Stegostoma tigrinum: one gene and its partners. The protein of the gene in region 1 interacts with the protein of each later gene in a pairwise test. Links are inferred from orthologs where the notes say so. Each region holds a gene or a part of one and is shown on either strand. Other genes may lie near its edges.

Evidence for each region. The genes of interacting proteins can lie anywhere in the genome.
Region 2: the proteins of tropomyosin alpha-3 chain (region 1) and inhibitor of nuclear factor kappa-B kinase-interacting protein-like interact in a two-hybrid assay, tested with the Homo sapiens proteins (2 studies listed by BioGRID). The two-hybrid records come from large-scale screens. The link is inferred for Stegostoma tigrinum from reciprocal best matches to the Homo sapiens genes TPM3 and IKBIP.
Region 3: the proteins of tropomyosin alpha-3 chain (region 1) and lebercilin-like protein interact in binary tests that used the Homo sapiens proteins (3 or more experiments, as listed by UniProt). The two-hybrid records come from large-scale screens. The link is inferred for Stegostoma tigrinum from reciprocal best matches to the Homo sapiens genes TPM3 and LCA5L.
Region 4: the proteins of tropomyosin alpha-3 chain (region 1) and lurap1 interact in binary tests that used the Homo sapiens proteins (3 or more experiments, as listed by UniProt). The two-hybrid records come from large-scale screens. The link is inferred for Stegostoma tigrinum from reciprocal best matches to the Homo sapiens genes TPM3 and LURAP1.

The regions. Positions count from the first base shown.
Region 1 is NC_081400.1:4,429,285-4,437,165, reverse strand, and holds the start of tropomyosin alpha-3 chain, read left to right. Parts: upstream 1-4,867; 5' UTR 4,868-5,097; coding exon 5,098-5,211; intron 5,212-7,881. UniProt on the Homo sapiens protein: Binds to actin filaments in muscle and non-muscle cells. Plays a central role, in association with the troponin complex, in the calcium dependent regulation of vertebrate striated muscle contraction.
Region 2 is NC_081378.1:35,460,258-35,467,959, forward strand, and holds the start of inhibitor of nuclear factor kappa-B kinase-interacting protein-like, read left to right. Parts: upstream 1-4,699; 5' UTR 4,700-5,021; coding exon 5,022-5,176; intron 5,177-5,186; exon of another isoform or gene 5,187-6,347; intron 6,348-7,702. UniProt on the Homo sapiens protein: Target of p53/TP53 with pro-apoptotic function.
Region 3 is NC_081365.1:19,150,022-19,157,617, forward strand, and holds the start of lebercilin-like protein, read right to left. Parts: upstream 3,004-7,596; 5' UTR 2,776-3,003; exon of another isoform or gene 2,721-2,775; intron 1-2,720.
Region 4 is NC_081361.1:65,212,563-65,219,474, forward strand, and holds the start of lurap1 (leucine rich adaptor protein 1), read left to right. Parts: upstream 1-3,909; 5' UTR 3,910-4,146; coding exon 4,147-4,380; intron 4,381-6,912. UniProt on the Homo sapiens protein: Acts as an activator of the canonical NF-kappa-B pathway and drive the production of pro-inflammatory cytokines. Promotes the antigen (Ag)-presenting and priming function of dendritic cells via the canonical NF-kappa-B pathway.

The DNA of each region.
Region 1 (7,881 bases):
CCCAGGACAGAGACAGGACGGGGTTAGGTACTGGGTTGAAATCCTGGATATCCTTCCTTCATGGTATTGCCCATCTACGTACTGCACATGGACTGCAGCGGTTCAAGAAGGCAGGTCATCACCACTTCTCAAAGGGGCAACTAGAGAAGGGCAATAGATGCTGGTCCATGCCCCCACAAGTGAATTAAAAAAAAACTCCCTCTCTAACAATAGAGCCTTTCCTGAGATAAGGAAACCAAAACTGTACTCCAAGTGCAGTCTTAGCAACATAATCGAAGCAATACAGAACTGGCTCGATGGTAGGAGACAGAAGGTAGTGGTAGAGGGTTGATTTTCAGACTGGAGTCTTGTGACCAGTAGTGTGCCACAAGGATGAGTGTGGGGTCCACAGCTTTTCATCTTTTACATAAATGGTTTGGATGTGAACATAGGAGGTATGGTTAGTAAGTTTGCAGATGACACTAAAGTTGAAGGTGTAGCAGGCAGCGAAGAAGGTTACCTCAGAGTACAATGGGCCGAGGAGTGACAGACAAATTTAATTTAGACAAATGTGAGGTGCTGCATTTTGGAAAGGCAAATCAGGGCAGGACTTATACACATAATGGTCAGGTCTTGGGGAGTTGAGCTGAACAAAGAGATCTCGGAGTGCAGGCTCATACTCCCTTGAAAGTGTGGTCATAAGTAGACAGGGTGGTGAAGAAGGTGTTTGGTACAGTCGCCTTTATTGGTCAGTGCATTGAGTGTAGGAGTTAAGAGGTCATGTTGCAGCTGTATAGGATATTAGTTAGGCCATTTTTGGAATAATTCTGGTCTCCCTCCTACAGGATGTTGTGAAACTAGAAAGGGTTCAGGAAACTTTACAAGGATGTAGCAGAGTTTGAGCGATCGTGAGAGGCTGGGGCTAATTTCTCTGAAGCATCAGAGGCTGAGGGGTGACCTTATAGAGGTTTATAAAATCATGGGGGGCATGGATGGGGGTGAGTAACCAAGGTCTTTTCCCCCAGGGCAGAGGAGTCCAAAACTAGAGGGGCAGAGGTTTAAGGTGAGAGGGGAAATATTTAAAAGGGACCAAAGGAGCAACATTTTCAGGCAGAGGGTGGTGTATTTACAGAATGAGGAAGTGGTAGAGGCTGGTACAATGACAACATTTAAAAGGCATCTGGCTCGGTACTTGGATAGAAAGGGTTTAGAGGGATATGGGCCAAATGCTGGCAAATGGAACCAGATGAATTTAGGCTAATCTGGGTTGGCACGGACAGGTCGGGCTGAAAGGTGTCGTACGTCTCTGTGACTCAAAGGCTTCATGACTCCTGGAGTCAGAAATGGGGGCAGACACCCAGCCAAGATGGCTTCCAGAGTGAAGGAGCCAAGTTGCTCCGAATGTTCCTGTGTCAAGAACGGGCATGAGGTGCACTGCAAGGCAGTCAGCAGCGAAATACAAAAGGAATACAGCCTTGGGGGACATCATCACAATCTATTTGTGCTCACGGGCGTCAATGTGTTGTGACAGCTGCTGGCCAGATTCCTGCTGGGGCTTTATTTTTGACTGACTGAGATAACTTGACAGGAATAGATCCACCTTAACCTATTGTAAAAACCTTCTGGCACAGGGGTTAGATGGTGGGCAGCTTGATCAGATGTAGCTCAGAAAGTAAACCCACCCTAAAATATTCCAGGCAACCGCTGTGGGAAGTATCCTTTGTATAAAGGATTTGGGTGCGAATATAGGAGGAATGGTTAGTAAGTTTGCAGATGACACCGAAATTGGTGCTGTAGCGGACAGGGAAGAAGGTTACCCCAAAGCCCAGCAGGATCTTGATCAGAAGGGGCCGAGGAGCAGCAGACGGTGTTTAATTGAGATAAATGTGAAATGTGGCGTTTGGTAATGCAAATCAGGGCAGGACTTATACACTTAATGGTAAGGTCCTGGGGGAGTGTTGCTGAACAGAGGTGCCTTGGAGTGCACGTTCATAGCTCCTCACAAGTGGAGCTGCAGGTAGACAGGGCAGTGAAGGTGTTTGGTACGCTTGCCTTTATTGGTCAGAGCTTTGAGTACAGGGAGTTGGGAGGGCCATGTTGCAGCTGTACAGGACATTGGTTAGGGCTACTACTGGAATACTGCATTCAATTCTGGTCTCCCTGCTGTAGGAAAGATGTTGCTAAACTAGAAAGGGTGCAGAAAAGATTTACAAAGATATTTGCTGGGCTTGAAAGGTTGGAGCTGTAGGGATCTGTTTCCGCGCTGTACAACTCTACCTTCCTTCTTGAAGCCTGAAAGTACTTGACCTCACCCACACATTGGGATTCACTGGCAAGGCTGGTACTTGTTATCCTACCGTAATGCGAGGGAGTTCTGGACTTCCTCCCAGCAACAGCGACGATACAGCTACAAGCAGAGAGGCTGTGTGGATAGCAGCGGGGAGAAAGGGAAGGAGCGATACTCCTGCGCATGCTCACTGCCCTCACCGAGCCCAGAGGGCACAGACTTGGCCGGGTGGGGGCTGACGGAGGACCCATTGGCTGTCCGCCCAGATGCCGGCTAAAGAATGGCCAGAAAACTGGCCTCCCCCGTGTCAGGAAGGGCACCACAACATAGGATTGGGAAGAGGCCCTTCAGTCCCTTCAACAGAGTCCACCATTCAATGAGCATGGAGGGTATGCGTTACAAGGAGAGGCTGAGATTATTCCCTGAGTTCGAAGGCTGGCCTTATTGACGTTTATTAAATCATGACGGGTTTAGATATGATGAATGGCAGGTGACATTTCCTTAGACTAGGGGCAAGACTAGGGGGCATGTTTTTAAGGTGAGAAAAGGACACAAGGGGCAAGTTTTTATTTACACAGACAGCGGTTCGTGCGTGGAATGAACATCCTGAGGAAGCGGTGGATGCAGGCGTAGTTACAACATTTAAAGGACATTTGAATAAGTACATTAATAGGAAGGGTTTGGAGGGATATGGGCCAGGAGCAGGCAGGTGGGAGCTAGTTTAGTTTGGGATTAGGGCCGGCATGGACTGGTTGGCTCGAAGGGTCTGTTTTGTGCATTGGGTCTATAAGAACACTGCACCATTCCCTTAGCTCTATCCACTCACTGTGGTTCTAGACCACTTGCTGATCAAAAGCCTGCTCAGATTCAGCTTGCTTATTTTGACAAAATTGCTGGCATGACAACTGTTGTGGCGGGAATAATGTTGCAGGGACCCATGCCCCTTTGCTGGGTAAGTCCTCCTGACTTCACCCCCAAAGAAAAACCGAAAGAACTGCGGATGGTATAAATCAAGAACAAAATCAGAAGTTGCTGGAAAAGCTCAACAGGTCTGGCAGCATCTGTGAACAAAAGATCAGAGTAAATGTTTCGGGTCTGGCGACCCTTCCTCAATGACCTTTCACCTCCAAAAGGCCTGGTTCACATTTCAAGCTCCTGCCCTAATAGTCCCCCCAGGGTTCGATTCCATCTTGGCAGTGCCTGCTCCCCCAGCATTGGCCCTCCCACAGTGCCAGCTCCCTCAGCACTGACCCTCCCACAGTGCCAGCTCCCTCAGCACTGACCCTCCCACAGTGCCCGCTCTACCAGCACTGACCCTCCGACAGTGCCCGCTCCATCAGCACTGACCCTCTGACAGTGCCCGCTCCATCAGCACTGACCCTCTCACAGTGCCAGCTCCCTCAGCACTGACCCTCCCACAGTGCCAGCTCCATCAGCACTGACCCTCTGACAGGGCCCGCTCTACCAGCACTGACCCTCCAACAGTGCCTGCTCCATCAGCACTGACAACCTGACAGTGCTCGCTCACTCAGCGCTGACCCCCCTGACAGTGCCCGCGCTCTCAGCACTAGCCCTTAGACAGTTCCTGCTCCCTCTGTGCGACCCTCGGACAGTGCCTGCTCCCTCAATGCTGACTCTCCGACAGTGCCAGCTCCCTCAGCGCTGACTCTCCGACAGTGCCAGCTCCCTCAGCGCTGACTCTCCTACAGTGACCGCTCCCTCAGCGCTGACCCTCTGATGGAGCTGCACCGTGCTGGCACTGGCCAGTCTGTCTTATTTGCTGCATTCTCTGGAACGGGTCTTGAACCTGTTAACTCCGATTCCGTGAGTGCTAACCTCGGAGCTCCAGCTGAGTTAGGCTGACATGTTAGATGCTTGCCTTGTGGACCTGGGTAAAGGTCAGATACAGTGCTTCTCAGTCCTCACCAAAGGTTGTGCCTTCAGTATTTCGTGGGGGGAGAAGAGGGGACCTGCTCCTGCAGGGAATTGGGGGAAAGAGAATGAGGGACTCACTCCTGTGAGGAGTGAGGTGGGGGGAGAATGGGGGACTCGATCCCGTGGGGAGTGGGGGGGGGGGGCGCAGAGAATGGGGGATTTGCTCCCACAGGGAGAATGGGGGACTCGCTCCTACGGGTAATGGGAGGGGTAGAATGGGGGACTCTCTGCCATGGGGATTTGGGGGAGAGGGGGGAGAATGGGGGATTCGCTCTAGTGGGGAGGAGGATGGGGAGGGGCCTTGCTCCCACAGGGAGTGTGGGGAGGAGAATGGGGGACTTGCTCCCTCGACGAGTCGGGGGAGAGTCAGGCCGGGGGAATGGGTTGAGGTGTCGAAAAGCTGAAAGAAGCCGAGCTTGGTATACATCAGAAGGTTATTCTGATTGGGTGCGGTGGAAGGGATTGAGTGATAGTTCCTGAGGTCGCTGACAGGGCTGAATGGTCCCCAACCAGGCTGTAAAAAAAAGCTTCTCAAGTCGGGCACCAGATGGAGTGTTAAAAGAAGAGTAAGGAGAGCAGCTGGCCTCTCTTTTAATAGAAAACAGTTGTCCACTGAAGTCAGAGGACGGCATCCAGCCAACCAATCATTGTCTGAACCTCGACAGTGTCCCACTGATTACTTAAAAATACTCCCAAGGTTGGGTTTCGGAGTCGAGGGGAGACTACATCAGTGTGGGAGAGCACAGGAGACTCACTGTACCACGGGCACCTTTTTCATCCTCTTCCTCTCTCTCTCTCTCTCGGTGCCCACCGGCGCTCACACACAGCTCGGCTGCCCTCGTCTGCCTCCGTTCCTCTTCCCCAGTCGTCGCCGAGGCCCACCGTACAAATCCAGAATGGAGGCCATCAAGAAGAAGATGCAGATGCTGAAGCTGGACAAGGAGAACGCCCTGGACAGGGCTGAGCAGGCTGAGGCAGACAAAAAGGCAGCAGAGGAGAGGAGCAAGCAGGTAAGGAGGGGGAGGCCTAGGCCTCATACTAGACACGACTCTGTCACTTCTAATTCAGTGGGAGCTCACTGGGCGGGATGTTGCGATAGCGAACGCAGTGCGACCCGTGCCACACATTCATTTAGACCCTCCGACAGTGCGGCGCTCCCTCAGCTCCGACCCTCCGACAGTGCGGCGCTCCCTCAGCACTGACCCTCTGACAGCGCCCGCTCCCTCAGCTCCGACCCTCTGACAGCGCCCGCTCCCTCAGCTCCGACCCTCCGACAGCGCCCGCTCCCTCAGCTCCGACCCTCCGACAGCGCCCGCTCCCTCAGCACTGACCCTCTGACAGCGCCCGCTCCCTCAGCACTGACCCTCAGACAGCGCCCGCTCCCTCAGCACTGACCCTCCGACAGCGCCCGCTCCCTCAGCACTGACCCTCCGACAGCGCCCGCTCCCTCAGCGCTGACCCTCCGACAGCGCCCGCTCCCTCAGCGCTGACCCTCCGACAGCGCCCGCTCCCTCAGCTCCGACCCTCCGACAGCGCCCACTCCCTCAGCTCCGACCCTCCGACAGCGCCCGCTCCCTCAGCTCCGACCCTCCGACAGTGCCCGCTCCCTCAGCTCCGACCCTCCGACAGCGCCCGCTCCCTCAGCACTGACCCTCCGACAGCGCCCGCTCCCTCAGCACTGACCCTCCGACAGCGCCCGCTCCCTCAGCTCCGACCCTCCGACAGCGCCCGCTCCCTCAGCACTGACCCTCCGACAGCGCCCGCTCCCTCAGCACTGACCCTCCGACAGTGCCCGCTCCCTCAGCTCCGACCCTCCGACAGTGCCCGCTCCCTCAGCTCCGACCCTCCGACAGCGCCCGCTCCCTCAGCACTGACCCTCCGACAGTGCCCGCTCCCTCAGCACTGACCCTCCGACAGTGCCCGCTCCCTCAGCGCTGACCCTCCGACAGTGCCCGCTCCCTCAGCTCCGACCCTCCGACAGCGCCCGCTCCCTCAGCACTGACCCTCCGACAGTGCCCGCTCCCTCAGCACTGACCCTCCGACAGTGCCCACTCCCTCAGCACTGACCCTCCGACAGTGCCCACTCCCTCAGCGCTGACCCTCCGACAGCGCCCGCTCCCTCAGCGCTGACCCTCCGACAGTGCCCGCTCCCTCAGCTCCGACCCTCCGACAGTGCCCGCTCCCTCAGCGCTGACCCTCCGACAGCGCCCGCTCCCTCAGCGCTGACCCTCCGACAGTGCCCGCTCCCTCAGCTCCGACCCTCCGACAGCGCCCACTCCCTCAGCTCCGACCCTCCGACAGCGCCCGCTCCCTCAGCTCCGACCCTCCGACAGTGCCCGCTCCCTCAGCTCCGACCCTCCGACAGTGTCCGCTCCCTCAGCACTGACTCTCCGACAGTGCCCGCTCCCTCAGCACTGACGCTCCGACAGCGCCCGCTCCCTCAGCACTGACCCTCCGACAGTGCCCGCTCCCTCAGCACTGACCCTCCGACAGTGTCCGCTCCCTCAGCACTGACCCTCCGACAGTGCCCGCTCCCTCAGCACTGACCCTCTGACAGTGCCCGCTCCCTCAGCACTGACCCTCCGACAGTGTCCGCTCCCTCAGCACTGACCCTCCGACAGTGTCCGCTCCCTCAGCACTGACCCTCCGACAGTGTCCGCTCCCTCAGCACTGACCCTCCGGCAGTGTCCGCTCCCTCAGCACTGACCCTCCGGCAGTGCCCGCTCCCTCAGCACTGACCCTCCGGCAGTGCCCGCTCCCTCAGCACTGACCCTCCGGCAGTGCCCGCTCCCTCAGCGCTGACCCTCCGACAGCGCCCGCTCCCTCAGCACTGACCCTCTGACACCTGCTCTCTCAGCGCTGACCCTCCGACAGCACAGAAACCCCAGATCTTTGCTTTGAAATGCTGAGTGGTTTTGCGTGCCTGGCTGAATTACCCCACACCAATCCTGCACTGGCACCTGCACTCACTATGCAGCGTCGTTGGCACAGAATGGTCATGGTTGGTAAGGTGACTGCTACAAGCATACTCTGTCTCAAGCCTGCACCTGAGAAGCTGCTCACAAGACTAGCCACAACTAGGGTAGGGCAGTAAAGTTGGTTTAGCCAACAACACCCACATTCCCCTAATTGATAAGCATAAAAATTGTGGGCTATCCAACTGTGGTGGGCATCACAGCAGAGTTCCAGCAGCTGCAGGGACATGTACTTCCACTCAGAAACGCTGGACAGTGATAGGAGAGGGTATCTGGGCTATCTCTGACCTTTAGGTGCTGAAGTCAGCTGTGGCGACCCAGGATAGCGCTGAATGCAATACACATTTGTGTGAAACAGGGCACATTCCAAAGCGAATGGCTGCAGTGAACATTAAACCCAAAGAAAGCCAAGCGAGAGCAGCGGAGATTTACTGGAAAGGCTTGGGGGATGAGGGCCTTCACTTGTGTGGACACTTAAACAAACTGCAAGCATTATTCTCAGAGCTGTGAAGGATAATGGCAGTTTTAACAGATCAGAGTTATGAGCGGACTTGGACAGAGTACAAAAAAACAGGTTCCTTCAACCGGCCACAAACAGAAAAATTGTGAAATATTTGTCAAATGGCAGCACAAGTCTTACTCAGTATGCTGTATCTCACTGTAACACTCTTACATATCCCACACTCCTTACTGTAACACTCCTGT
Region 2 (7,702 bases), on another chromosome or scaffold:
GAGTGAAACACTAAGAGAGAAAATGGTGGGTCCACTCTGCTGACAGCAAAGCTGACAAGACATAAACAAGATGGGGGTTGGGGGTGGTGGAGGTTGGTGACCTGGTTTTTGAAAGGACAATCAACTTGAAGCTCCAAGTCATTCTTACAGTTAGAGCAGGGATGTTTCACAAAGCTGTCACCCTGTCTGCATTTTCTTCTTGCCAATTTAAAGAAGACCACATTGTGAATGTAGTAGACCAGATTGAAAGAAGCATTGTACAAGTAAAGTGGAGAAATTGTGACATTTCCTTGGAGAAGGCTGAGAGGAAACTTGATAAAGATATTTAGAATCATAAGGTATTAAAAGGTAATTAAGGCTTGAAATCACCAGGAGGTGGTGGCAATATGATAATATCACTGGAATAATAATCTAAATGCTCAAGCAAATGTTCTGGAAATGTGGGTTCAAATCCCGCCATATTGAAAGAATATTTGAATTCAATAAAAGTAATCAGGAATTGAAAGCTAGCTTCCTGGTAGCTATCTTGCCACATTGTAGGTTGTTGTTTTAAAAACCCATCTGGTTCACTAGTGTACCACCCTTACCTGATCTGACCTCCATGAAACTCAACTTCAGTAAGGTGGTTGACTTTTAACTGCCCTCTGAAAAGGTCCTAGCAAAGCACTCAGTTTAAGAGACAATTAGGCTAAGCCAACAATGCCCACTTTCTATGAATGAATATTTTAAAGCAAAATTATTTCAGACTATATTAAACATATAATCACTGAAAAGAGGAATGCCCACAGGGTTTTAAGCAGAATAAAATTGACAAATTCTGTTAAGATTGAACAATTACATTCTTTCACATTAAGTTACTCTCAAGAACTTGGCATCATCAGCAAATGAAAGAGATACAATGCCTATATTCTAGTTTTATTTCAGAAAACAAGTAAATATTTTACTGAGTCTCTTGTGGTGCAGTGGCAGAGTTCCTGACAATGCCCCAGCCCTGAACTGGGAGTCCTCAGTTCAAGTCCCCCCTGCTCCAAGGGTACGTAATAAAAAATTCTGACCAGGCTGATGAGAAGAATAGGCTATATTTGGAAAAAAAACAAGTAAATGCTTTGCTAATGGTATTTAGAATATTCTGAAACAAAGTCTGGTTTGTTTGTAAGCAATATAATTTCTAGACTTTGATCAGTGAAACAATATATTGATTGAATGTGCACAGTTGACTCACATTTATACAATTTTTATTTTGCACTTGCAAATGTCGAAATAACTTTTAACATTAGCTACTCTTTGATTTTATGGTTTTCTGCATTAGTTTTATGTTGTACAATACAAATAACTTTTCCTCTCTGTTCTTTACTTTAAAATAAATTATTCCAAACAAACACTACCAAGATGAAGAACATAAACAGATGCCCTCGAAAAGAAAATAACTGATAGGTGTTTTATTTATTTCGGAATGTGCCTCAATTAAGCAAGGCCTGAGACCATGAGTTCATGAGAACAGGCCATCATACATTCTAATAAATCAGCAAAGGAGATACCATAAATTGGTTTGCTATCTCAATGGTAAGTACCAAAATTCAATAAAATAATAGGCAAAGCTGTAATAAACAGGGATGCCCCCTGCCCTTGTAAATGACATCTTAAAAGACCAATTAGGGGTCTTGTAGATTTCTCAGATTCTCCAGCGTCTGCAGTCCTCATTATCTCTGATCACAATTTTAACCCCACTGCAAAGCCTCCTCCAGGGATGCCTAACCTGAAGAAGTTACCCTCCTCCCTCCGGACCATCCTCAGGGGATCTCTCTCCCACTGCAACTCTCTTGTAATCCTCCTGCTCTCTCCTGATTTATTTCAGAACCCTCTCCCCATCCTCCTTTTCTGATGAAGGGTCTAGGCCCAAAACATCAGCTTTTGTGCTCCTCAGATGCTGCTTGGCCTGCTATGTTCATCCAGCTCCACACTTTGTTATCTAGGGGTCTTGTAGAGTAATGGTGCTGTCCCAACCCTGAAACCAGAAGGCCCAGATTAATGACCCACTAGCTGCAAAGGTGTGTGATGAAAACTCTCTGATCAGGTCGACCCGAAAATATCTAAAAGACCAATGAGTAGATAATGGGAAATATCAGTTGGTGACTGTTATTAACAAAAAAAGAAACCAATCAGAAATTGGACGTACAGTACCTAGGCAATCCAAATTTCACCCTAAACTGTTTATGAATTGTGTGCGCATCACCTAGGCAATTAAGAGTCTAATCATGCAGTGTCTGGGCCAATCAGGACTCCAAAACGGTTTTAATTATGTTATGGAATGTGGCTCAGAAAGAGTTAATAAAGCTTCCTTTTCTGTGGTAATGTGCGCAGAAATAAATTGTACTCTAGTTAGCTGAGAATAATGATATTTTTATGGAGTAGCTTCATCCGCCATCTGGCTAAGTGCTGTTTCCGTTGCACTTATTTTTGATAACTTAATAAATTGGTGAACATTTGTTTGTTCTAAGTAGTATTGTACTCAGAGTGAGCCTGAATCTTGAAATTAAGGTTAAATAGATTCAGAATCCTACAAGGCCTGGGCAGAGTAGTTGGGGAGGAACTGTTCCAATTCATGAAAAAATGATACAGAACAAATGGTACAGATTTAAAGTAATTGGTAAGAAGACGCAATAGTGATATGAGGAATGACTTCTACACAATGAGTGGTTAAGTTATAGAATGCACTGACTGATGTATTGATTGAGACAGGTCCAATTGAACCAAGGGAACCAAAAGGGAATTGGACCAAGAAGGAACAATGTACCGGGTTATTGAGATTAACTAAATGAATTCATTTGGAGAGCTTGTGTAAATGCAATTAGGCTTATTGGCTGGCTTTTTTTCTTTGCTGTAGTGATTATGATTTTTGAAGTGCTGGACATTGCTATAGTGAGGGAACCAACACTGACGATAATTGACTGCAGACCCCAAGTATTCGTCCAAGAAGTTGCTTTATGTAATGATGTAGTATTGTCAGTTACCTTAACACAGTTTTCAGAGAGGTACAATATATGGGAGACAGGAAACAATGGTATTCATGATAACAAAGTGTGAAGCTGGATGAACACAGCAGGCCAAGCAGCATCTCAGGAGCACAAAAGCTGACATTTCAGGCCTAGACCCTTCATGTTGGTTTGAGATTCTAATGATCATTTGAGTCAATGGCTATTTGGAAGCTCTTGCTATGCTGTAAACAAACTAATGTGGTGCCCATTTTCAAAACTGGTAACAAAATTCATAACTACAGAGACACCACCATTTCACATTTTCCTAACAGAGTAACTACAAACCTGAAGCTTAAATATACAATAACCTGTAGTCAAAATAACTTAAGTTGGTGGGTTTGTAGTGGATAGTGGTAGACAGCCTAACCACAAAAAAGCGGAGTCAGAGATAGACCAGGTGAAAGTGAGGAGGATATTTGGTAATGGTAGGGGTTATGCTGGGCCATGGATTTACAAATTATGTTTGAGTACAATTTAGCTGTTGCTGATGGCCCACAGCATCTCCGGGAATACCTAGTCCTGAATTGCTAAATCCATTTAAGTCTACTCCATTTGGCATAGTAGTAGGTATTTTGGGATTGGTTAACTCAGTTGCCTGGATGGCTGGCTTGGTTTACACGGTGACATGGATAGCGCAGGTGCAATTCTGATACTGGCTGAGATTACCTTCTTCTCAACCTCTCCCCTCATCTGTGCTGTGGTGACCCTTTGGTTAAATCACCATTCATCATTCCCACTGAGGTCTGGTAAGACTATGGCAACTTTACCTTTTAGTTCCACAATCATGACACAGAGTATTCTCAATGTGAAGAAAGGACTTTTCTCCACAAGAACTGCACTGTGATCATAATGCTGTCATGGACAGCTGCATTAGTGGACAGCAGCAGGTACTGTGAAGTGTGAAGGATGAAGTGAAAGATGTTTTGCCTTCTCCTTAGTTCTGCACTGGATTGTCTTCAATTCTTGCTGCAGTCCCAGTCTAGCAGCTGTGCTTTTTAAGGACTTAATTAGCTCAGTCAGCGGTGGTTCTGCTAAGCCACTTTTTTTGGTCAACATTGAAGTCTCCCAACTAGAGTCCATTCTGCTGTCATGCTACTTCTGTGCTTCATCCATGTAGTGTTCAGCATGAAGGAGCATTGATTTATCTGTTGAGGAAGGATGGTATAAGGTATTCAGCAGGAGTTTTCTTTGCACTTATTTGACAAAATGCCACAATACTTCAATGTTGAGGACTTCCAGGGAAACTCCTTCCTGATTGTGCATAACTGTGCCATCACCTCTGAGACAATGTGAGGGCCAGTGTTGCAGGTATGGTTTCCTGGGTATAACTGTCAGACTATTGCTTGACTAGTTTGAGACATAGTGCTGCAATAATAGTTGAGGGCTGTTGCTGGATCAACAGGTTTCAGCAGAGCGAAGAGTTATTGAACTCCAAATTTAAAGCTGCTTACTTCCCACCAATGCTTCAGACCTGCTGAGTTTCTCCAGTAATTTTTGTTTGTGTTTCAGATGTCCAGCATACCCAGTTCTTTGTTTTGTGTTAGGTTTCCATTATTCTTTATAGGAGGGGGTGGGGGAGGTCAATTTTTTCAAGTGGGCAGCTAAGAATCAGACTGCACATGAGTGAACTAGATGGGTTTTCACGCAGATTGTGCACGGTCCTCATTTATTCCGATCTATGACTGAATCATGGTGAGAGTCAAACCAGCTACCCAGAAAATTTCCTGCGGATTAAAGTCCATTTACAGTCCAATTACCCCGTGTCTGCTACAGACTGACAGTTCTCCCGTTCTCTAGCATGTCAACTCGCAAGATCTTAGATCTCATTGGGTCAAAGGAAACTCTTGGAGAGACAAAAGAAAAAGGCCAAAAGTGACTGGTTTATGTTCGCCGGGTGCGCGTTTGGGTCGGGGGTGGGGAGTGCCTCTTGGCCGCCGGAATTTGGTGAGAAAGTGTTGAACGTGGGGCGGGGATTATAGTTGCAAGATGTCCAGTGAAGTGAAGCAGAGGAAGAAGAACGTGGCCGGCTGCAAGCAGAGCGACGGAGTGAGGGAGCAGGCTGCGAGAGGGAAGGTGTCAGAGGGCCCTGTGAGGAATGTGCTGTGTTTGCTGTCGCTACTCGCCAGTGCGGCCATGGCGGGGTAAGGAAACGGCGGGAGCCCGCCCTCTTCTCCCCTGTTGTCTCTCGACAACTTGTGGATCCCCGTTCCTTCTTCATTTAAAACCATGGGGGGACGGGTAGGGTAATGTTCCGCTTCATTTAAAAAGCTTTTGAGGGAGGGGGGAATTGTTTCGAGTGCTGAAGGAACTGGGAGAGAGATTTTTTTTGTTTTAAGTTACTCTTTGTCTACCTTTTTACATTCGATGAGTCAGGATGTACACAAAACCGGACGGACGGTTTCCAATGAGCTGAAAGGATTTTTAACATCTTTCCTGTCAAACTAAACGTTCAAGAAACCGGCTGTGGGTTTTTTTTCCCGCCCTCTGTCAAATTGAGTGGAATTGGGCTCCACAAACTGGCTTCGTACCGCGTTTGCTGATTGTGAGGGCCCACGCAAAAAAAATGGGAGATTTTTGTTCGTATTCCTGCTGCAAAAATGTGATGATGAGATTTGGTTGAATCCAGTGGGAGGCGATGTCTGGAGGTGGTTATTACATTCTTCTCCCCTGTAAAGACCGCGAAGCAGATGTGTGGACGTGGTCGTTTTGACCGTTTTTTTAAAAAATGCAGGTTTGACGCCTTGCACCGAACAGAATGTGAACCCCGGGCTCCCTAAAACTTTTGCTTCTGCCCGAGTTGAAGCGACGAAGAATCCTTCGGTTGGGTCGATTCCGAAGACACGTCGCTTTAATTTTGGACAATCCGCTCGAAAAGTTTCATACTTTTTCCCACAGCCGGTTTGTGTAGATCTGCTGCACGTCGCGATCTGAAACCAGTACGTGCTTCAGTGGATTGTGAGAGTTGCCAACAAGTAGTTCTTCCATCAGAGATAATGGGAACTGCAGATGCTGGAGAATTCATGATAACAAGGTGTGGAGCTGGATGAACACAGCAGGCCAAGCAGCATCTCAGGAGCACAAAAGCTGACGTTTCGGGCCTAGACCCTTCATCATAGTTCATCCATCACTGTCTGATCAGGGAAGGTGACACTCCATCCTACTGTGGTGTCCAGAGGCCACCGCTACAAGGATACTGTACTGGACGCTGGAACGAAGTAAAAGCAGAACATGCTGGAAAGAGGTAGCATAGGTGGAGAGAAAATCGTAGTTGACTTTTTAGATTGGCGACTCATTTCCAGAACCATAACAAGGGTACCTTTGTTTCTCTCTCCCCAGTTTCTGTTAGATTAATTGAAAATATAACATTTTCTGGTTTTATTCAAGATTACAACATTTAAAAGGCAGTTGGATGTCCACATGAATAGGAAAGGTTTAAAGAGATATGGGTAAAAATGCAGCCACATGGATTAATTTGGGCTATCTGGTTGACGTGGATGAGTTGGACCTAAGGGTCTGTTTCTGTGCTGTACAACTCTGACGCTAATCTATGTTCTTTCGTCAAAGCAATCACGAAGAGAGTGGCTAGAGAAACCATTAAAAACACCACGTTTTTTAAAAAATCCTGAAAAGCTCAAGACAGTGGCAGAGTAGGATGCTCCAATTGGAGTTTCTTTACTTGCATGCTCCTTTTCCTTTTTTGTTTTTTGTCTTCTTCGTAGCTTTTCTTCTCCCCCACCCTTGACCTTTGACTGCCTGTCCTAACTGAAGAATGGAGTTGTGGGAGCCAGTTGCAGCTGGAGCCAGGGTGGGAGCTGAGTTTAGCAGCGGCAGCAGGGTAAGCACGGGGCAGTTTGCAGAATGAGACCTGTGGTGGTGGAGTGAGCAGGCCAGTACCCAAATGGCGGTGGAATGGGTGAGGATTAGAGCCCGAGGGGCAGCCCAGCCAGTTCTGAATGGAGGCTGGCATGAGGAGGCAGCATGGACTCATGTTGACGAGGGATGGAGCCTTAAGTACTTATGGTCACTTTCTATTATCAGTCTGGACTTTTTAAACTGTTTCTATGCTAACCTTTTGTTTAACTCTGTAACCACACTTAATCTGTCTGAACATAGCCTGTGCCTAAGATGTGCCAAGAGGTGACATTACAAACTTTTCACTGTACGAGTGCATGTGACAATGAAGAGTGTTGTAATTCTATACTAATTTGTTCTTGCTCAAGTTACAACTGCAGTATTGAAAACCAAAGTAAAAACAAAGGACTGCTGGAAATCTGAAATGAAAACATAAAATGTTGGAAAAGTTCACATCTGGCAGCGTCTGTGGAGAGAGCAAGAGTTAACTTTGAATCAATGTGACTCTGCTCCATTCTTAAGAAGTCGGAATGAACATGAATCATTAGCTGTTTCTCTTTCCACAGATGCTGCCAGACCTGTTGAACTTCTCTGGCATTTTGTTTTTACCTGAAAGTCAAAGCATTGACTGACTGCTTCCTTGATGAGATGTGGATCACCGGCCAAAATATGATGCACTGTTAGGTCATCAATAATAATTCCAAGGTTCATGGCAGTTGATTTTTGTTTATATTTTTGTACTGAACAGGGAAGACTTGAAGAGATGCAGAATTGATGGTGTAACTTTTTGCTACCTGTTTGTTTATCCCTTAACT
Region 3 (7,596 bases), on another chromosome or scaffold:
GGGGATTGAAGGATGGGTCAGCAAGTTTGCAGACGACACAAAGGTCGGAGGTGTCGTTGACAGTGTAGAGGGCTGTTGTAGGCTGCAGCGGGACATTGACAGGATGCAGAGATGGGCTGAGAGGTGGCAGATGGAGTTCAACCTGGATAAATGCGAGGTGATGCATTTTGGAAGGTCGAATTTGAAAGCTGAGTACAGGATTAAGGATAGGATTCTTGGCAGCGTGGAGGAACAGAGGGATCTTGGTGTGCAGATACATAGATCCCTTAAAATGGCCACCCAAGTGGACAGGGTTGTTAAGAAAGCACATGGTGTTTTGGCTTTCATTAACAGGGGGATTGAGTTTAAGAGTCGTGAGATCTTGTTGCAGCTCTATAAAACTTTGGTTAGACCGCACTTGGAATACTGCGTCCAGTTCTGGGCACCCTATTATAGGAAAGATGTGGATGCTTTGGAGAGGGTTCAGAGGAGGTTTACCAGGATGCTGCCTGGACTGGAGGGCTTATCTTATGAAGAGAGGTTGACTGAGCTCGGTCTCTTTTCATTGGAGAAAAGGAGGAGGAGAGGGGACCTAATTGAGGTATACAAGATAATGAGAGGCATAGATAGAGTTGATAGCCAGAGACTATTTCCCAGGGCAGAAATGGCTAGCACGAGGGGTCATAGTTTTAAGCTGGTTGGTGGAAAGTATAGAGGGGATGTCAGAGGCAGGTTCTTTACGCAGAGAGTTGTGAGAGCATGGAATGCGTTGCCAGCAGCAGTTGTGGAAGCAAGGTCATTGGGGTCATTTAAGAGACTGCTGGATATGTATATGGTCACAGAAATTTGAGGGTGCATACATGAGGATCAATGGTCAGCACAACATTGTGGGCTGAAGGGCCTGTTCTGTGCTGTACTGTTCTATGTTCTATATACCTTATACCACTTCCTTCTCAAATGATGTCTCATTCCCTTTTGAAAGTTACAAATGAATCTGCTTTCACCAGCTTTTAAAACAATGCAATTTGGATCATGCTAATTCACATTTCAGATCATGATAATTCAGTATATTAAAATAAACTCATCTCCCCTCCAGCACCGGTAAATCTTCTGGCATTTCTGAATATCTACACACACCCAACAAGAAATCGAAAAGTTTTTTTTCTTGAAAGTGATTGTATGATAAATTGGAAGTTTAAAGGATAACAGACCCATTTGAAAAATGAAATCGCTAAGATTAATCATATATTTTAATTATTATGGAGAGGGGCGATAACAGTGGGTGCAGTCTTCCGCTCATTTCTGTTTCCCTTACTGGTTCCTTCCCCACCTCTTTAACCTGTCTGTCTCCTCTCCACCTATGTTCTCCTCTATCCATCTTCTATCCGCCTCCCCCCGCTCTCTCTATTTATTTCAGAACCCCCTTCCCCTCCCCCATTTGTGAAGAAGGGTCGAGTCCCAAAACGTCAGCCTTCCGGCTCCTCTGATGCTGCTTGGCCTGCTGTGTTCATCCAGCTCTACACCTTGTTATGCTTGTTTCTGTTGTTTGTTTTAATTTGAGTGTTGTCAGCTTTTAATATTTCAGGTAGTGCACAGACATCAGTAGATGTATAATTTGATCATCTTCCTTATTTTCATTATTTTGTACCGTCATTCACGTTATCAGACAATCAAACTTGTCCCTGTGCGTTCCCTATTGATGTCATCAACACACCATTCAAATATAAACATTCGAATCTGTAGAATTTCAACTCAATGCCATTCTTTTTGAATTTTGATGTTCGGTTTTCAAATTAAAATATTTTCTGAAGGTAAGTTTCTCTTTTTGAAAGATGACAACATGTTTGTATAAGATTTGCACTATTATTTTCCGAAATATGTCTCTTCCGTGCAGGAACAAAGCAATACAAAAAAAACCCCAGGGCAATGCAGAGATAGCAAGAACTGCAGATGCCGGAGTCTGAGATAACACAGTGTGGAGATAGAGAAATACAACAGTTCAGGCAGCATCAGGGGAGCAGGAAAGCTAACGTTTCGGGTCGGGACTCTCCAGAAATTAAGAAGGGTCCCTATCCGAAACGTCAACCTTCCTGTTCCTCTGATGCCGCCTGGCATGCTGTGTTCCTCCAGCTCCACACTGTGTTATTCCAGGACAATGCAGCAGGATGCACTGAGGCGGTGAAGGTCCTCTCGCGAGAAATTGATGGAATTCGATCCGCACCAGTATGTAGATAGAAACTATTCCGCTTGGGAACCCTACAGCCCAATGGTACCAATGTGGACTTCACGAGTTTCAAAATCTCCCCTTTCCCCTGCTGCATCCCAAAACCAGCCCAGTTCGGCCCCGCCTCCCTAACCTGTCCTTCCGCCCACCTACCCCCGCCCCCTCCACCACAAGCCCCACCCCCATCTCCTACCTACCAACCTCATCCCGCCCCCTTGACCTGTCCCTCCTCCCTGGACTGACCTATCCCCTCCCTACCTCCCCACCTACACATCACCTTTACAGGCTCCATCCCCGCCTCTTTGACCTGTCTGTCTCCTCTCCACCTATCTTCTCCTTTATCCATCTTCTATCCGCCTCCCGCTCGCTTCCTATTTATTTGAAAACCCCCGTCGCCTCTCCCATTTCTGAAGGAGGGCCTAAGTTCGAAACGTCAGGCTTTCTTGCTCCTCTGATGCTTCTTGGCCTGCTGTGTTCACCCAGCTCTACACCTTATTATCTTATAAACATGACTTACCGGTTTATTCTAAGACGCTGCTGAATGAAACGCGAATCGTCCATAAGACCTGTACCTGAAATGAGCAGGACTCGAAAGATTTGTTGCATCGAACTGTCACAATCTGCGCCACAATGGTTCACAGGAATCGAATGGATACTGTATCAAATATTTAGATCCATCGCCTTGGAAACGGTCTAAGAGGCGTTCAGTGCTCATGCATCAAATATTGCCTTGAGGGATCTGTAGTTCATTTCTTCTTATCCTGTCTTTTCAATATAAGGGTGAGATCTAATTCCATATAGCACGGGGTCGGTCTCTGCTGTTTAAAATAAGATGGTGTAATTATAAGTTGCATTTATAAACTGACAATGCTCACACGCACTGAATGACCCTGGCTCCAAAACCACAGCAACTGCATTTATAAGGCGATGTTCACGTTGTGAGGCGTCTGAAGGCACTATACCGGGATATAAGCAGATATAATTTGGCGAGTGGGCACATATAGACATATTAAAGTAAGTGACCAAAAACTTAGGTAAGAATATAAAAAAAGATGGAAGAGGGAGGCAGGGTCGTAGAGAACACAAGACCTAGGTGCAGCAGTAGGCAATTCAGTTCCTCAATCCTGCTGCGCCATTTGATACGATTATGGCTGATCTCATCTCCTCGGCCTTCATTTTCCTGCCCACTCTCCTCAACCCTTCATACCATTACTACTTTAAGAATCTATCTCCCCAAATTTGCTCAATGTCCCAACATCTTAAAGGGCATAGCAGCAGAGATAATGAATCCATTGATTATAAAATTTCAAAATTCTCTGGATGCTGGAAATGTTCCAGTGAATTGGAGAAATGCTAATATTGTGCGACTACTCAGAAAGGGAGAAAGGCAGGCACTGGGAAACTATAGACTGGTTAGTTTTAATTTCTGTAATTGAGAAATTGTTAGAATCTATTATTATGAAATAACAGGATATTTAGAAAGTCAAAATGCAATCCACCAGTGTCAGAATGGCTTTAAGAAGGGTAAATCATGTTTAACCAATTTGCTAAAATTAAGACCATAAGACTATAGATATAGGAGCAGGATTAGGCTATTTAGGCCACCGAGTCTGCTCTGCCAGCCATTCGATCACGGCTGATTTGTTTCTCACCCCCTATTCTCCTGCCTTTTTCCTGTTACTTGACCTCCTTTTCAATCAAGTATCTATCTATCTCTGTCTTAAATACACTCAACAACTTGACCATAACCTTCTTCAGCAATGCGTTCCACACAATCACCACCCTGTGGCTGAAGAAATTCCTCCTCATTTCAGTTCTAAAGGGCCATTCTTTCACTCTGAGATTGTGCCCTTGAGTCCTAGTCTCGCCTACTAGAAGAAACATCTTCTCCATATCCATTCTATCCAGTATTCTTTAAGTTTCAGTGAGAACATCCCCCCATCCCCTCATCCGTAGCTCCATGGAGTACAGATCCAGAGACCTCAACGGCTCCTCACATGACAAGCCCTTCATCCTCAGGATCATTCTTGTAAATCTCCTCTGGGCCCCCTTCAAAGCCAGCATGTCCTTTAGATATGGGGCCCAAAACTGCTCACAAAATTCCAAATGCAATCTGACCAGAACCTTATACAGCCTCAGCAGTACATTTCTGCTGTAGTATTCTGGTCCTCTCGAAATGAAAGCTAACGTTGCTTTTGCCTTCCTAACTGCCAATTGAACCTGCATGTTAACCTTAAGATTATTCTGAACTAGCACTCTCAAGTCCCTTTGTGCTTCCGATTTCCAAAACCATTCCCCATTTAGAAAATAGTCTATGCTTCTGTTCCACCAAAATGCATAACCTCACACTTTCTCACATTGTATTCCATCTGCCACTTCTTTGTCCACTCTCCTGGCCTGTCAAGTCCTTCTGCAGCTGTCCCACTTCCTCAACACTACCTTTCCCTCTGCCTATCTTTGTGTTTTTTGAAGATGTAACTTGCAGAATGGATATCTAGATCGAGTATATATGGATTTCCAGGAGGCACTTGATAGGTGCCACATAAAAGGCTAACACGCCAAGTCAGTGACTAAAATATCAGCTTGGATTGGCTAAACAGCAGAAATCAGAGAATCAGGATAAATGAGTCTTTTTCTGGCAGGCAAGATGTAACTAGCGGGGGCCACAGGACTCGGTCCTTGGGTCCCAGTTATTTACAATCTATATTAATGACTTGGATGCAGGGATAGAAGGTACTGCAGTCAAGTTTTCTGATGACATAAAAAAGGTGGGAATGTAAGTTGTAATGAAAAAAAAATAAATTTGAAGGGGCCAAAATTTGGCAGTTAAAATTTAACATGGATATGTGTGAGGCATCCATTTTGATCAGAAGAATAGAAAGACAATGTATTACCTATACAGAGAAAAACTTCAGAATGATGAGGTGCAGCTGGATCTGCATGTCCTTGTGTGTGACATGCATGAATTGCAAAAAACTATGGAATTTTGACATTTATTGCTATGGGAATAGAGTATAAATGTACAAAAGTCTTCCTGCAACTGTATAAGTCATTAATGAGACAAAACCTGGAATATTATGTATGATTTTGGTGCCCCTACGGAGGGATGGAGTTGCATCGGAAGCAGTTTGGAGGAGGTCCACTAGATTGATTCCACAGATGAGGGGTTTGTCATATGACATGAGATTGAGCATTTTATCCTTACAGTCAGAAGTATATAGATATTAAAGAAGATGTACAAAATAGATGTAGTGAGGATATTTCTGTTTACGGGATAATCTGGAATGAAAGGCCATAATTTTAGGATAAGTGATAGCTAATTTCAAACAGAGATGAGGAGGAAGTACTTCTCTCAAAGGGTCATGAATCTGGAATTCACTACCCCACAGTGTGGTGCACTGAGTAAGTTGAAGGAGGAGATTGCTTTTTCATTGTAACTGGTTGAAGGGCTATGGAAAACAGGCAGGAAAGTCGAGCTGAGATCAGCCATGATTGTATTGAATGGCAGAGCAGGCTCGAGCATAAAAATTATTTGTAATAAATGGAATAGCTGGTAATTTTATTAGATTTTATTGTCACATATACTCGAGTTCAGGAGTACGGTGAAAAGTGGACAAAGTCGTCATTTCCCGGCAACATCTTAAAGAATACAAAAAAAAACAGGATTAAAAAACAGAAGCAGAGATAAAAGAAACAGCCAAAAGAAAAGGAAACACCCCTCCAGACCCCCACCGCCTCTGCCATGTGTCCTTGTTGCCAGGATAACAAAGCCACAAAGTATGTCCATAGTCTGCAAACACTCAGGTGCCCCGAGACCCGCACCCCACCGCAGCTGGAACACCAGCTCCCACCGCTGTCAGATACCAGGGCCCAGCCATGGCCCAGTGTCACTGCTGCTGGAACCATTCGTCAGTGCTACCTTGCCTCCACAAACGTTGTCGCCACCGTGAGTCCACGCTGGACAAATCTCAGCAATGCAGCCACCGCTGAAGTTGCCGGGTCCCGAACTGGGCTCAAACTCACTGCCACCTCCGACGATCACCGTTTCAGCAAGAAATCTGCTGCTGCCATCATTCCAGGCAGGAACCATTCCTACTGCTGTCGAAACTCCGGGAAGCCACCGTTCCCACAGTTGCCGTCCCCCGATTACGGTTGGCTGCACTACAGTTCAGGCTGTCCTTCATGCTTCCAAGGTTCCTGCTTCTTACTGCTGATGTTCGCTCTGAGTGAGTAAATAGATCTTAATTAAAGTTAGGTATCCGGATCATGTTATCATCTTTTACTGTTATCATTTATTTATATTATGTGTATTTCCAGTGAATAATAATGTATGTCCATGAACTTCCATATTGGAATAACCTTTCCCATGAAATGGCCAATCAAGGCACTGAAAGGTGAACAAGGGGGAAGTGTCCTGGCCCTGGCCCTGGATGCCAATGGGAAAGATTTCTGCACTTACAGGAATGTCCCTGGTATGGCCGTTCTGATCTCCCAAGGTAGTACACCACACCAGATGATTAGAAACAGAACGTAAGGGGCAGTGGAAAGAGAAGGGGATTCTGGGAGGTGACGCCTCTGAAAATGAGGAGACAAAACCAGCACATTTAAGCAATTTAGAGAAACCTATTGGGATATTGGGATGAATTGTGAAAAACTTGGATTATCTTGGCAAAATCAGCATGTCTGGTTCCCCAAGGGAAAAAGCCATGCCGGAACTGAAACACACGAATGACAATCTTAAATTTGAGCTATTGTTAGATAAGCAAATAATGTAAGTTAGGGAATATGAGAGTGAAGCAACGATCTTTCTTCTTGAATCATTTCCAGTTGCAGAGTAATCAATCAGTATTCTGCTAGAGACTGGAAAAATCCCTCTGCTTGCCTCACCAGTTTGAGATCGATCTTCAAATTCAAAATTAACGTGTGATTGAGATTTTGGCTGTTCTTAACTTCTTTGTAAGCACAAATCAACCTGTAACATTTTGGGAGTCAGAAGGTGAGTTATGTGCTGAAGAGTTCCAATTCTTTAATGTTCTTGTACCTATTTACATGGTCTAGTTAAGTTTCTGATTAATGGTAACTCGTGAACAGTGCCAATAGGGATTCAGTGATGGTAATATCATTGATTGTCAAGAGAGATGTTAGGTTTTCTTTTGATGAGATAGTCATTGCCTGGCACTTTTTTCATGCTGCTGCTTATCAGCCCAAGCCTAAACATTGTCTAGGTATTGCTGCAGATGGGCACATAATTCCTTCAGTACCTGAAAAGTTCTGATTAAAACTGAGTAGTGCAATCACCACCAAATATCCCCACTACTCTCTTGGATGCAAGGTTGCTGTTGAAAGCCTGAAGGTGATTCTCCATAAGACACTACCCCAAAGAACTCTTACAG
Region 4 (6,912 bases), on another chromosome or scaffold:
TTTGTGAAGTCACCATTGGTTAAATTTCACTAAAGATTTGAGATGTATGTTGTGCCTTGTCCATATTTCTGAAGCGCACAGGAATGTAAGTAATATTGCTGCCACAGACGATGAACTCAATGTCAGATTTGAAGTCTTTCTTAACAAACTCTCAGTTTCTCAGGTGTCTAAAGGCTGTGCTGGCATACTGGAGGTGATGTTGAATTTTCTCTTAATCTTTGTTCCAGTGAAGCAGTGATTCATATTGTCCAGAGGCTAGCCATAGATCTTGACCGTCACATTAGGGTTGAGTTTAGTTCTAGTGACAGTCCTGTACAATGGGAACAAGCTGGCAGAGGACCTTTGTCTTTCGGATGTTTAGCCTAAAGCCCATTGTCTTATATGTTTCGGTGAATGCATCAACAATGATTTAGGGTTCAATATTTATATTTCAATATTTACACAAAATTAACGAACAGAGTTTGTGTAAAACCTGCATCTAATGAATAGTACTTTGAGGTTAGTTATACTATTCATTAATTTTAGAAGCTGTAATGCTTGACAATAGCCTCTGTGTCATTGTGCCAGCTCCATTGTCTGACTCAGATGTTACATAGTTCCACTTAGTGGATTCCAAATTCTGTTCATCATTAATCATAGGTAGTAAGTGAGTGGAGCCCTGGAGTGCATCACTTGAGAGAATGGTGAAAATTAATTCAATAGTAAACAATCAAAAGGATATTTGGTGAACATTTGAAGGGAAAATGTTTGGAAAAGAGCAGAAGAATGAGATAAACTGAATAGCTTCACTTTGGTATAAGAATGATGAGTCAAATGATGTTCTTCTATACTGTATCATTCCATGCCCATTTTCCTCTCACGGGACAGGGACTTCCCTGAAAAGGCCACCATTCGTTGAGCATCCCTGATTGCCCTTGAACTAAGAGGTGTGCTGGGCCATATCAGTAGGCAGTTAAGAATCAATCACCTTGCTGTGGGTCTGGAGTCACGTGTAAGACAGGAATGGGAATGGAAGGGGATGAGAGAGAAGGTTGAACATGGCAGAAGCAGTAGGGGGAGGAGTAAAGTAGATTGATGGGGAGGGGAGAAAGAATGTGAGAGGGAGGAGAGAACATCCATATGATCAGGTGGGAGGGGTTGAGTTTCCACCACCTTCCTACCTCTCTCCACTGAAGTCCAAGAATGTCTGAAGTTGGCCATTCCTCTTGGACACCAGTTGAGGATCTTAAGTAGCTATTTTGGAGCAACTTAATGGCTTCATCCTGACACTGTTGTTAGTCAATCAGTTTCAGGTTTTGCTTTCTGTGGCGGATGAGACATACCACAGGGGCCCTCATTGTAAGCCTATCCTGTGACGGATTGAGAGACCTGAAATTGGAAAGGGTAGGGAGGGTGTACTCATAAGAAGCCACGACCCAGCCATTGTCAACCTCTTCCTTCCTGGCAATCTCATCCCAGCCCTGTAACCTGGCTGGAAAGGATTCCTTATCAATCCTCCGGTAAAAGCCCACTGCAATCCTGAGGCAACCACTGTTTTGAGTGGCACTTTAAGGGAATTTCTCAAGAGCACAACATGTCTGACTAACTTGCTGATTTTTTTAAAAGTAGTAACAGACGGTTCTTGAGGGCAATGCAGTTTATGTAGTATACATGACTTCTAGAAGAGACAGTTCAAACAACAGACTTGTGAAGAAAGTTAGATCTCAACGAATGACACAGTATCAATATGAATACAATAATTTTGAGTAATATGAAACAAAGGGAAATTTTTAATGGATGAGTTCCAGGCTGGCCATAGTTTGCACTGTTGGATTCCCCAGGTTTCCTTGACACATATTAATGATCTTGATCTTTGTGCAAAGAGCACACTTTCAAAAATTGCTGATGATATGATACTTGGATGCATGGTTCATTGAGAGGAGTATTGTAGTGAACCTCAGAAGGACATAGAAACATTGAGGAATAGACAGAGGCGGCAATCAATGAAGTCCAATGCAGGGAAGTTAAAGGTTTTGGCAGGAAGAACAAGGAGAGAAAATATAAAGGGTACAACTCTAAACGGAATGTGCATGTTCATTAAAGATAGCAGAACCGATAATAAAGCTATCCTGGGCTTTATCTAAAGGGACCCAAAACTTGTATGAGATAACAAAGTGTGGAACTGGGTGAACACAGCAGGCCAAACAGCATCTTAGGAGCACAAGAGCTGACGTTTCGGGCCTGGACCCTTCATCAGAGAGGGGGATGGGGTGAGGGTTCTGAAATAAATAGGGAGAGAGGGGGAGGCGAATCGAAGATGGATAGAGGAGAAGATACGTGGAGAGGAGACAGAAAAGTTAAAGAGCAGGGATGGAGCCATTAAAGGTGAGTGTAGGTGGGGAGGTAGGGAGGGGATAGGTCAGTCCGGGGAGGATGGACTGGTCAAGGGGGCGGGATGAGGTTAGCAGGTAGGAAATGGGGGTCTGGCTTGAGGTGAGAGGAGGGGATAGGTGAGATGAAGAACAGGTTAGGGAGGTGGGGATAAGGTGGGCTGGTTTTGGGATGCAGTGGGGGGAGGGAAGATTTTGAAGCTTGTGAAATCCACACTGATACCATTAGTCTGCAGGGTTCCCAAGCGGAATATGAGTTGCTGTTCCTGCAACCTTTGGGTGGCATCATTGTGGCACTGCAGGAGGCCCAAGATGGACATGTTGTCTAAGGAATGGGAGGGGGAGTTAAAATGGTTTGCGACTGGGAGGTGCAGTTGTTTACTGCGAACCGAGCGTAGGTGTTCTGCGAAGCGGTCCCCAAGCCTCTCCCCAGTGTAGAAGGAGCCACACTGGGTACAGCGGATGCAGTACACCACATTGGCGGATGTGCAGGTGAAAATCTGCTTGATGTGGAAAGTCTTCTTGGGGCCTGGGATGGGGGTGGAGGGAGGAGGTGTGGGGCAAGTGTAGCACTTCCTGTGGTTGCAGAGGTAAGTTCCAGGAGTGGTGGGGTTGGAGGGGAGTATGGAGCGTACAAGGGAGTCCCGGAGAGAGTGGGCTCTCTGGAAAGCAGACAAGGGTAGGGATGGAAAATATCTGGAAAATGTTGGGGTCGGATGGCAGACGGCGGAAGTGTTGGAGGATGATGCGTTGTATCCAGAGGTTGGTGGGGTGGTATGTGAGGAGGAGGGGGATTCTGTTTCGGCGGTTATTGTGGGAACAGAGTGTGAGGGATCAGTTGCAGAGATGCTTTTTCTGACTCAGCTAGAGCCCTGTGTCCAGGTCTGAACGCTGCATATTAGAAAGGCTGTGTGCGTGCACTGGGGAAGGTGCAGAAAAAAAAGATAGATTGGAGAAGTAAGGACTGTTTTCCTTTGGAGAAGTTGAGAGGAGGTTTGATTGGAAGCATTCAAAATCGTGAGGTCTGGACGGAGTAAGCAGTGAGAAAATGTTGCCGCTTGCGAAGAGACAGAGGACACAGTTTTAGGTTAACTGGGAAAAAAAAGTCAAGGTACTTTCACGAGCAGGCAGGCTCTCGAATTTTGCTTGAGAATTTGATGAAGATAAATTCAACCAAGGTATTCAACAGGGAATCAGACAGCTATCTGATCAATAACATGCGGGATTACGGAGAGATAGTACCGTATTAGACATTCCTTAGAAAATCCGGTTCAGACGTGAAGGGCTGAATGGCCTCCTGCTCTGCAACCTGAAATCTGCGAACTGTTGGTGGCTGTATCCTTTTCATATGCCCTTGTGCTGCATTCACTCACAAAGTGGAAAGGAAGAAGGTTTAGTGGTGACATTGGGACTGGAACGGCAGTTGGATTGACGGCGGAGTTCCGTTTTTGTCTCCTCCGAACACTGGGGAATAGCACAAGGCCAGGGCAGCGTGAGCGGGGGTAGGTTTTGAGTGGCGCTTTGTTTCTTTCCATTACGGTAGAGAGGGTCGGGTGACAGAGCCGGAGCTGTCTTCGCCGCAGTCTCTTCATTCATTCATTCAGCGATGCCTGCAGGTGGAAATTGGTGTGAAGCGGCGCCGGGGCCGGGGAAGACAGAGGCTCAGTAGGGAAATGTGTATCCTAGGGAGGGTGCCTGGTGGGGAACAGAGCTAGTCTGCTTGGTTTTAACCGGACTGAATCCCTTTGGACCAACACATCGATTCATAGATCTTGTCATGGAAGATAGTGCGAGCGAATTGTTGCCGGATCTGAAGGATCTGGAAAATAAGGTTGGACGTAAGACGCCAGAAGGCTTGCTGCGGTGGTTGCGGGAGGACGCAGCGCGGCTAGCCGGGGAGAAGGTGGACACTGCTGGGCCGAGCGGGGACCAGGCGGCGCTGTTCCCTGGGCAGAACAAGAAGCTGCCCCAGGGGCTGGCCGAGAAGATCCGAATGCTCCGGCTGGAAATGGTGAGGGGGTAGGGTGTTGATTTTTTTAAAAAAAACGTTACAGCTTGGCGTCTGCAGGTAAATTCTGGGCGAGTCGGCTGTAGCGTATGACTATCTCATTTCCGCCAGCAACGCCGTTCCTATGGAGGTTGCAATAAGTAGATGTTCGATACTTATATTGTCGGGAGCTCTGCCTAAATCCTACGGAAGTGCTCCCGGCATTGACCGGCTGCATTTAGCAAACAATTGTGACCCCCAGGCGGATCTCACCTGAGAAATCTTCACATTAACCCCTTCACTGAATGTTACGAAATGATCTCACACCTAGTCTTTCATTTTTAAAACTAAACTCACTTAGACTGATTTTAAGAAATTGTTCCTTTATCAGGTTAAAGGAAATACTCCCTTCAGGATTGGGAACAGTGTCGGGACCCAAGTCACAAGCTTCTGTACTTGACTCTGAGGAGGGGTCTTTGCTCTCTCCGCTGTGCAATAGTTTGAAAACTTGTTGAGGTAATGGGACTTGTTTCCTATTGAATCAACATTTTCCACAACATTTCAGTTAATAATTAACTGCTTCAAATGTGACTTTTGTCTTTTTTTGTTGAAACACTGAGTCAGTTTACAACGACGTTTGAATAGATATTTGAGTTAACGCTTCATTTCAAGTAAATTAATGTTGCTGGCTGATGCAAAATAAAAGGTCAGGTGCATGAATAAGTGATCTGAGTTAGCTCTGAGAAGAATCCATTCTGCATTAAATTGGCGAGGATCTCTGATTGTCAGTTAGCAATTCGCGACTTTTGAGGCTAAACCACGCCCTAATCTGAGTAACCCATAGACACTCGGAATTGATTCCTGTATCTATCTCGTCTCTAGGATCAACTTCCACTCAAGGTCAGAACTAACGCCAGTACTGGAGCCTTTGCTTATTTTATATACAAGTTACTTAACTTTCCCATTGCGATTTGTCAAGTTATAATTTCCTACTCCACCTGTTTTGTCTCTGGGGGTCGCTTTGTCCATACGATCGGTCCCTCCCACTGCAAATTTCACTGAAGATTTATGCTAACGTTGCGAATAAAGGCGTAAGAAATAGTAACAGGTGTAGACCATTTGGCCTCGTGAACCTTCCATCATAAGATTATGGCTAATTTTTTACCGTGGCCTCAACTCAGAATCTTCCCCTCCCCGCACCCCCTATAATCCTGATTTTCTTGAGGATCAAAGGTATTTCTAACAACCGTGATTAAATTCAACAACCCAGTTTCCCGTTCCAACGATTAAGAGCCCTCTGAGAGAAAAGAAATTCCTTCTCTGTTTTGAAACCCCTTATTCTTTGTTCTAGATTCTCCCCACAAAGGGAAACGTTCTCCTAGGATTTGCCTTGTCAGGCACACTTAGAATCTAATTGAAACATAGAGGATTCAAAGCCTTCTAAACTGTAAGGAGTAGGGTCCAACCTGTTCCCTTTGCTGGGTAAAGAATGGGTTCATCCCAGGTGACTCTGAACTTTCTAAACTTCATCCAATGTGAATATAAACCTTCCCCAATAAGAAAGCAAAGCTGTATGTAGTATTTTAGATGTGTTCTTACCAATGCTGATTTTGTTCAAACTAAATACATTGTGCTCTGATAAGACTGGTGGTGTCTGATGTGCAGGAGCACAGGATATGTTTGAATGAGCTGTAAATGAACATTACCTTTTGACGTGGCAACTATGCATTCTTCAGTTTTTGTCTTACAATTCCAATCACTCAAATTGTATAATCCCCTATCCAATATTCATCTGCTTTGTAATATTTCTACAGTATATGAGCAGGTTATTTCTGATACAGCTAATTATGTCAAGTGAAGCAGTCTTTAGAAATGAAAGAGAATTTGTAGGTTCAAAAACAATGGGTTTCAGAGGTTGATGGATCCAAAAATATTGGGGACATGGGAGAAGTGAAGTGGGATATTTACCCATTCCTCCTTCAGTCTTAGAAATTTAACATTCCTATTCTTAAGAATATACCCTTTTATAGGAACATTGGAGCAGGAATTGGCCATTCTCCTGTACAGTGCCCATATCCTTGAAAATTATGCAAGTAAAACAAGTTTGAGTACACAGTGTATGCTATAATATACTCCTGACATATTGCAAATTTAGGGGTTTGAGATATTTCTATGATTGCATAGATCTTTATGCTAGAGTATTAGAACTGGTGGCATTCCTAGTCAGGATTTCCTATTGACTTGTGGGGAGATGGTGGGCTGTAGTGTGCAGTATTGTTAAGAATCTACAAACATGGCAGGGTGCAGGTAATGCTAAAATATTTGGCTGTAAGTGGGTGACTGGCCTGCAGAAGATGCAAAACAGCTTCGAGTATTTCTCCAGATTTGTTGCTACTGTTAGTGATACTGATGGTTCTGACTTAGTCCATGCATTTTATAATTAGACTGTATTTGTTGTATTAGATTTTGACCAACAGGGGATGCAACATTTTGTTCATAGACGGAAATCTGTAAGTGAGTGAGTTTGAAAGGGGTTAATTTTCCAGGTTCTAGGCT